Sus scrofa: one gene and its partner. The protein of the gene in region 1 purifies or fractionates together with the protein of each later gene. This does not show direct contact. Links are inferred from orthologs where the notes say so. Each region holds a gene or a part of one and is shown on either strand. Other genes may lie near its edges.

What was found. Proteins that work in one complex are often made in the same cells at the same time.
Region 2: the proteins of ASF1A (region 1) and CABIN1 purify together in Homo sapiens (affinity purification with mass spectrometry; 4 studies listed by BioGRID and IntAct, counting the BioPlex papers as one, with this or other methods). This does not show direct contact. The link is inferred for Sus scrofa from reciprocal best matches to the Homo sapiens genes ASF1A and CABIN1.

What each region holds. Positions count from the first base shown.
Region 1 is NC_010443.5:43,212,158-43,215,904, forward strand, and holds the start of ASF1A (histone chaperone ASF1A), read right to left. Parts: upstream 2,863-3,747; 5' UTR 2,414-2,862; coding exon 2,305-2,413; intron 1-2,304. UniProt on the Homo sapiens protein: Histone chaperone that facilitates histone deposition and histone exchange and removal during nucleosome assembly and disassembly.
Region 2 is NC_010456.5:49,785,047-49,788,793, reverse strand, and holds the start of CABIN1 (calcineurin-binding protein cabin-1), read left to right. Parts: upstream 1-1,080; 5' UTR 1,081-1,184; intron 1,185-3,304; exon of another isoform or gene 3,305-3,417; intron 3,418-3,747. UniProt on the Homo sapiens protein: May be required for replication-independent chromatin assembly. May serve as a negative regulator of T-cell receptor (TCR) signaling via inhibition of calcineurin. Inhibition of activated calcineurin is dependent on both PKC and calcium signals.

The DNA of each region.
Region 1 (3,747 bases):
CCTTTGCTAATAAGTGAACTCAATTTCCTTAATCCACACAGCCTCTAGGTGGAGTACCTAAGCATGGCACCTTTCTGAAAGATTCCTTTGCAGCTTTGGTATGACTCAGCTTAAACTCTTAAAAATTACTAAATAAATGCTTACATAGGTGCCCAGGGAGGTGAGGTATACAAGTCGAAGTAGATGTATTCCTGACATCAATACTGTAAAGATTCTGATGTGATTAGCTGGGTTCTAAACAGATCCCAGTTACAAGTGGAACACAATTCAGCTTCTACCAATGGCAGGTTTCAGCCACCCAATGGCAAAGCCCTCTAACAACATCCTGAATCATCTATCTTCCCCGTTCAGAACTGGCTCTAAAATGGAAGGCATCACTTGACAAATACTTGTAATTTCGAGAACTTCCAATGCCTAAATACTCCAGTATAAGGTGGAGTTGATTCATCAAAAGTTTCCCTCTTGCATTTGCCCACTTTTATATGCAACTGAAAATAAAAAGGAAAAATCAGACTAATGGGCATGAAAATGGGCCTAGTGGTTGAAATGCCTATGAATGTAGGCCTGTATACTATGGGAAAGTAACCAAGTAGCTTCAGAGTACCCTATTAATCTGTTTTAATTTTATTATCAATGGCCTATTTAGGAATTAGTTCAACAAATGAATCGTCTTTCAAAACGTGCCCTACTTATATATGTGCACATAGGCTTTATGTATGTAGTAAAACTACATGGAAAAGCACAGACTAAAGTATTATAATTACTTATAGATGAGTGAAATGGGGGAGGCACTGAGTATAGAGAATGGTTACGTTATTATGTCTGCACAACTTTTAAAAAGTTTATTACAGTAAGCATGTTGTTTCTGTAATTTAAAACGTTAACACCCTACATAAAATACATGATATAGAGATTAAAAACCAATTTTTAAAGTGAAAGTGCTTTACATGCCATGGTTAGCATATTTTTAAAAATGCACTTTGTTAAACACACCTGTAAGTTAAAAGTACGTCTATTTAATTTTAAAATTACCGTTGGTGAAGTTAAAACTTTTTCCTCCTCAAATTTTCAAAATGAAGCACTGGACAATTTTAGTAAAATCGCGAGAGTAAGACCTTAGCAAACTTTAGCTTTCTAAATATTACTGCACATACTAAAAATATTTATCTTTTTTAAGACCTTAAAAATGGACTTAGAAAAAATGGCACAAATTTCTGCATTACCATCAGGACTTAACCTTTTATTTCCTAGCCCACTTTTTTGTGTTTTATGTTCAGGTTATTTGGATGTGGAGTTATTTTAATTAGAGTTCAACACGTTCTTGAAGAAAGTCTTCTTTCAGACTACTTAGAAACCAGTGATAAGGTCCTGGAAACTATTTAAATATTTTACTTATTTCTGCATTTGGGTTAAATGTAACCACCTAGCTAGCAATATTTTCTTCCTGAGAGAAGATTTCGGTCCTTAAGGATGAGGAGTCCACGCCGGTCGGGGCGAGCCTGCGCGCCAGCATCCCCCAGGCGCCTCGAGCATCCCCGGCGCCGGCCCTGGAGCGCCGGCCCGGGAGCACCCGCGGCCCCCGGGGAGCGCCGTCGCCGGCCCGCGGCGCCGAGGGGCCGAGCCTGCGCCCGCCTCCCCCGCTGGTTGGTCGAGGGAGCCAGAAATCAGCGCGAGGACAGCCTCGCTCTCCTCCCCGAAGCGGCCGGGCATGGCCACCCAGGAGTGTACGGTAACTCCGGCATTAGCTCTAAAAATGGATCTGCCTCTCGCTCCGGGGCAGGAAGGTGGGCAGGCGGGGCGCCGTGTTCGTCACCCGCGGAGAGGAGGCGTCGTGACGCCGGGGTCGGTGGCCCAATTCTCTACTCTTGGTAAGATGGCTCCGCTGCTAACTCGCCGGCGCGACCACACACATGCCTCTCCCTTTCCACCTCGTCGCCGGGACCGCGGGGGCCGTGGAAGCCATTCGCGGCTCGGGGCCAGCCCGGCGCGACCCCTGGCCGGTGCCGCGGGAGAGAGTGCGGGTCTCGTGAACCGCCCGCCCGCCAGACAAAGCTGACAACATGGCTACCTCCGCTCGAACAAGTTCCTCGCAAGTTGAGCCGCAGCAGGCGCCCCGGCTGCGGCCGAACGCCGCGCACGCCTCGGCGGCCGTCGTCCATCAACTTCAAGTTTCCCTCCGCAGAGCCGAGACCGCAGCTCGCCCGGCGCCGAGCACCGACTGCCCGCGCGAGGCCGGGCCCGGGAAACTTTCAACGTCTGCAGCCCGCAACTGACAGCCCGGCGGCTGGCGGGCGCCCGACTCACCTTCAGACAGGTCCTCGATGCACTCGAAGGTGATCTCGAACTGGAATGGGTTGTAGAAAGGAGAAGGGTTATCCAGCACCACTACATTGTTCACCTGAACCTTTGCCATATTTTGAAAAAAACACAAACAATGGGAACGGGGGCTTGTTGCGGCACAATAAAGTCCAGCGCGCGGCCGCTCGGGAGAGCGCAGACCCCCGCCCCGGCGCCGGCCCGACGTCGTGCAGCGGCGACTTGAGAAACTTTTTTTTCCTCTTTTTATTTACACGGGAACACTCCACTGTGTTTTGCAGCTTTCCTATTTCACTAAACTACAGCCCATTCTGCTCTGATAACTAGCAGCGTTGCCCGCGATTGGCTGCACCCGAGCTCTGACCCTCCTCCTCCAGCGAGGGCCTCTGCGGCGAGCAAGATGGGCTCCCGCTCCCGGAATGGACTCGGAAACTTTAACTGCGGCTCCACCTGCTGGTGTGGATTAGGACAAAGGCGGAGAACAAAGTGAGTGGAATACGGGCTGGGAGGCCCGCGCGGAGGCCGCCGGCGGCGGCGGCGGGGGGAGGGGCGGAACAGGCCCCGCCCCCCGGCCCGGCGGCTCCCGCGCCGCACGTCGGGCGTGGCCGCGGCGGGGCGGGGTCGAAGGAGGCGTGGTCACGGGCGAGGCGGCGGGGGCGTGGCCACGGCGAGGAGGCGTGCTCGCCGTGGGCCTGGCGGCGGGAGGGTGTGATCTCAGGCAACGCCCGCCTCTTGGGATTGCTTGCTGTGGGTTTTTTTCTTTTAACGCTTTTTTTTAAACATCAGTCCAACGGCTTTTCCGGCTCTCTACTGAATTAAGCACATGTGAATCTGTTGTCCACAGTAGCTTAGGTTCAGCCTCTGTATGTTGGGTAATATTGGGTGTAGAAAAAGGGTTGGTTGCAGTGGAAGTATATTGTATTTTATAGACTGATGCCAACTCAAAAGGAATAAAGCCATTTTGGAAATGTAGTTCTTGGCCAATACCTGCGTTTGGGCACAATAGCGCCGTTAGTTAAGTAGATACAAAATGAAGGGCGAGAAGACGCTCTTCCGCACACACTTTGTGCAATAGGTAATACTTGGGTGGCACCTCGGTCTTCTTTCTCCCATTCCAATCTGGAAACTCTAGAATAAGAAAAAGATTACTGGAGGTGGGATCAGTTACACTCCAGGTTTCTACTGTGTGGTGGGCATAACAGGAAAATAAAAGGAGAAAATTGCAGTGTGAGGAGACCAAAAGGTAACAGATATCAATAGAGAAGGGAAAAGGAGAGTAGGAATCACAAAGGAATACTGACATGCAATTTTCAAAAAATCCATGACCTAAAAGGTTAGTAAATACAAATTATGGCACCACAAACAAGGGAAACTGTTGCTTGATTATTCCACATTCAGTGTCTATTTGCTGTTTGACTATCTTTGTAGGGA
Region 2 (3,747 bases), on another chromosome or scaffold:
AGGTTACACTCCTTTCAAAATCAAGCTTGGTGACTCAATTATTTTTGTACCTCCTGGCATATCATTAAAGCTTTACTGTACTGAATTGAGTTCTTCAGCATGATTTTACCGTCTTTAAACAAAGTCAAAGAGAAAGGGCGTAAGATTCATCCTTCTTTTTTTGGCCAGGCTCACAGCTTGTGGAAGTTCTCTGGATCAGGGATTAAACCCAAGCCACAGCAGTGACAAGGTCAGATTCTTCTTCTTCTTCTTTTTTTTTTTTTTTTTGTCTTTTTGCCATTTCTTGGGCCGCTCCTGCGGCATATGGAGGTTCCCAGGCTAGGGGTCGAATCAGAGCTGTAGCTGCCAGCCTACGCCAGAGCCACAGCAATGCGGGATTCGAGCCGCGTCTGCAGCCTACACCACAGCTCATGGCAACGCCGGATCGTTAACCCAGTGAGCAAGGGCAGGGATCGAACCCGCAACGTCATGGTTCCTAGTCGGATTCGTTAACCACTGCGCCACGACGGGAACTCCAGACAAGGTCAGATTCTTAAACCGCTGAGCCACCAGGGAACTCCTAACATTCATTCTTATTTAAATCATACTTCCTGGACTCATGCACCTATAAATCTGAACCAGGGAAGCCCTTCCCTAAAATGCTTAGCTCCCAAGAGCGTAACATCTCAGTCCCAGCCGGTTGTCAGAAACCCTCTTCCAGGCTCTTAAATTCTGTTGTTCCCTCCCCCGCCCGTTCACCTCCCAACAGACTACCCGCCCTCCGCTCCCCGCCCCCAGTACTCTCTGCTTCAATAGTTCGTTGTATCTGTGGTTTTTAGGCTTCAAATCCTTTTCGGAAAAAGGTGAGCCACGGGCATAGGAATGAGAATATTGTTACTCCCTTGGTCCCCTCCAAGTGTCCCCAGGTTTCCACCTTCCGAGCACCTGTCGCAGTTGGAACACTGCTGCCGATTACTTAGCAGGTGTCACCAACCGCGCTGCAGATTACCGCCAAGAGGCCCTCAAGGTCCCCGCGCGCTGGCTCTCGGGAAGGCGCGTGCGGGCTCGCCGATTGGCTGGCGGAGCCGGCTCCCGAGCCAATGGGAGCGCTCCTTGTTGTCAGGCGCGCAGTCCTTCCGACGGGCGCGGGGGTCCGGCGGACGGCCTGTTGCCGTGGAGACGACTCGTGAGTTCGCGTACTGCAGGTTTGGGGAGGCCCCGGGCTGGGGTGAGGCTTGGAGGTGTGGTGCTGAGGAGCGGCTGGCTGGGGGCTGCTCACGGAAAAACCCAGGCTGGGAGCCCGAGCGGCCGAGCCAGGCCCCACTGCCGCGCGAACCTCTTGGCGGCTCCCGCTCCGCTTGGGGCCTGGGGCGGGGGTCTCAGGAACGCTGTGGGGGTCTCAACAACTCAGCCGTCCCGTCTGCGGTCGCGGAACAGGGCCCCGCACCCACCCTTGCTGCGTGTCCTTCCACTTAACCTTCGCGGCGGCGCTGCGCGGCGGGCACCAGGTGGGCGCCCCTCGCGGGATGGGGACTGAGGCCGAGAGGTGGTGCGGCCGCTTGTCCCAAGTCCCCAGCTTCCCGGCAGGCTAGCCGACTCCAGACTAAAAGCCTGGACCCACTGCCGTCCCGGAGGAGGCCAGGTGGAGCTTTCTGACGTCGGCAGGTGTCTGCACAGGCGGCTTTAGGGGTTCCTTCACCCCTTGGTGAAGGGCCTACTGTGTATGCGGACCAAGCGGCTGGGGTTCTTTCTGTGTGGTACATAACCGTGGTTAGGACCCATGTGTCCTCAGAGACGTCTGGTTCAGGGGTCAGCAAACTTCGGTTCTAAATAGAGTAGTTTATATGATACTATTCCTTGTGACAATAATGAGTGTAATTGTGCTTATAATGAGGAGGGGGCATAGTTTTCTTAGCTCTGTTGCTGTATTGTGGACACAGCCAACGACAGTTCGTAAAGTTGTTTCAAGAAAATTTCATTTAGGGACACTGAAGTTGCAATTTTATGTTGTCAGTAATTTTCATGTGTCATGAACTTTTCAACCATTTAAAAATGTAAAAAGTGGGAGTTCTTGCCATTGTACTGTGGGTTGTGCTGCCCACCCTAGCGTCTTGGGTTGCTTCTGAGGCAGGGGTTCAATCCCCAGCAGTGGGTTAAAAAGATCGAGCTTTGCGGCAGCTGCAGGGTAGGTAGGTTGCAGCTGTGGCTCAGATTCAATCCCTGGCCTGGGAGCTTCCATATGCCATGGGTATGGCCATTAAAAAAAAAAGAAAAAGAAAAAGCCATTCTTTGCTCTTGAGCTGTACAGAAACTGTGGGCTTGGTAGCTTGTGGATCCCAAGTCTAGCCCAAAGCCTCATACAGTGGAGGGAAATGACCTAGAGACCGGCATCTGATGCCATGTCAGTCACACGGCCCAGGCTTCCCCATTCCCAGGCCAGAGCCTGCTAAGAAACATCACCCCTTATCACTGGATCTGGGTGAGGTGCTCAGGGTGTGCTGTTGTCATGTGTTCTGAGGGCCATGAAAACTGTACCATAAAGATTTTGGAAACTCATGAGGTTTAAGTCCTGAATGTGCCTTTTTGGTTTTTTAAAATTTTATGGTCCCACCTGTGGCATAATGGAAGTTCCCCAGGCCAGGGGTTGCATCACAGCCACAGCTTTGACCTGTGCCACAGCTGTAGCAAAGGGGGATCCTTTAACCCACTGCGCCCCGCTGGGGATAGAACTGGAGCATCCACAGCACTCCACCAGTTACTTAGTCTTTACTAAACTTCTAAACTTTTTGGCCTTGCTGAGTTTTTCGTTTGTTTGTTTGTTTGTTTTGCTTTTTTAGGGCCCAACCGGCAGCATATGGAAGTTCCCAGGCTAGGGGTTGAATCAGAGCTTCAGCTGCCGGCCTACGCCACAGCAATGCAGATCTGAGCTGAGTCTTCTATTTAGACCGCAACTCATGGCAATGCCAGATCTTTAACCTGCTGACTGAGGCCAGGGATCCAACCTGCATCCTCTTGGACACTACGTTGGGTTCTTAGCCTGCTGAGCCACAGTGGGAACTCCCAGCATCATGTTTTTGTGGTTCATCTGTGTTTTCATTAGTTCATTCCATTTTATGGCTGATTGATATTCCATTGTATGGCTGGACCACATTTTGTTTATCCAGAAATTAGTTGATGGCCATTTGGGTTGTTTCTTCTCTTTGGTTATTATGAATAATGTAGCTGTGAACATTCCCTCATGGATTTTGCAGCTGCAATGTTACTTCATTGTATGGAGGTGCCATAGTTTATTTATTCATATCCTGGACTATCTGTGGCCATTTAGGTGGTTTTCAAGATCTTGCAATGGCAAACAGTGCTGGAACCCTGTGCATATGTATTTTTACATGGTTGGAGATGCATCTTCAGGGTAGATTCCTAGGATTGCTGGCTTGAAAGGTAAGTGCATTGGTGATTTTGTTGCCTGTTATCATACTCTTTTCCAGAGGGGCTATACTAGTTTGTTTGTTTTTTTTGTGGGGGGCTTGTACCAATTTGCATTCCCACCAAAGGTGTTTGAGAGTAGTGCCTGTTTCCCCACAACCTTACCACCAAGAGTGTGCCTTTGTGCTTTAGTTTTTGCCAGTGTGTTAGGTGAGAAATGGCATTTCAGTGGGCATCCTTTATTGCTGGTATTAAAGGAAGTCCTTCTGGTGTTACTTCATTTAATAAATTTTGGCTTTAGACTAAGGTATGTGTGTTTTAACATTGTTAAGAAAATTCCAGGAG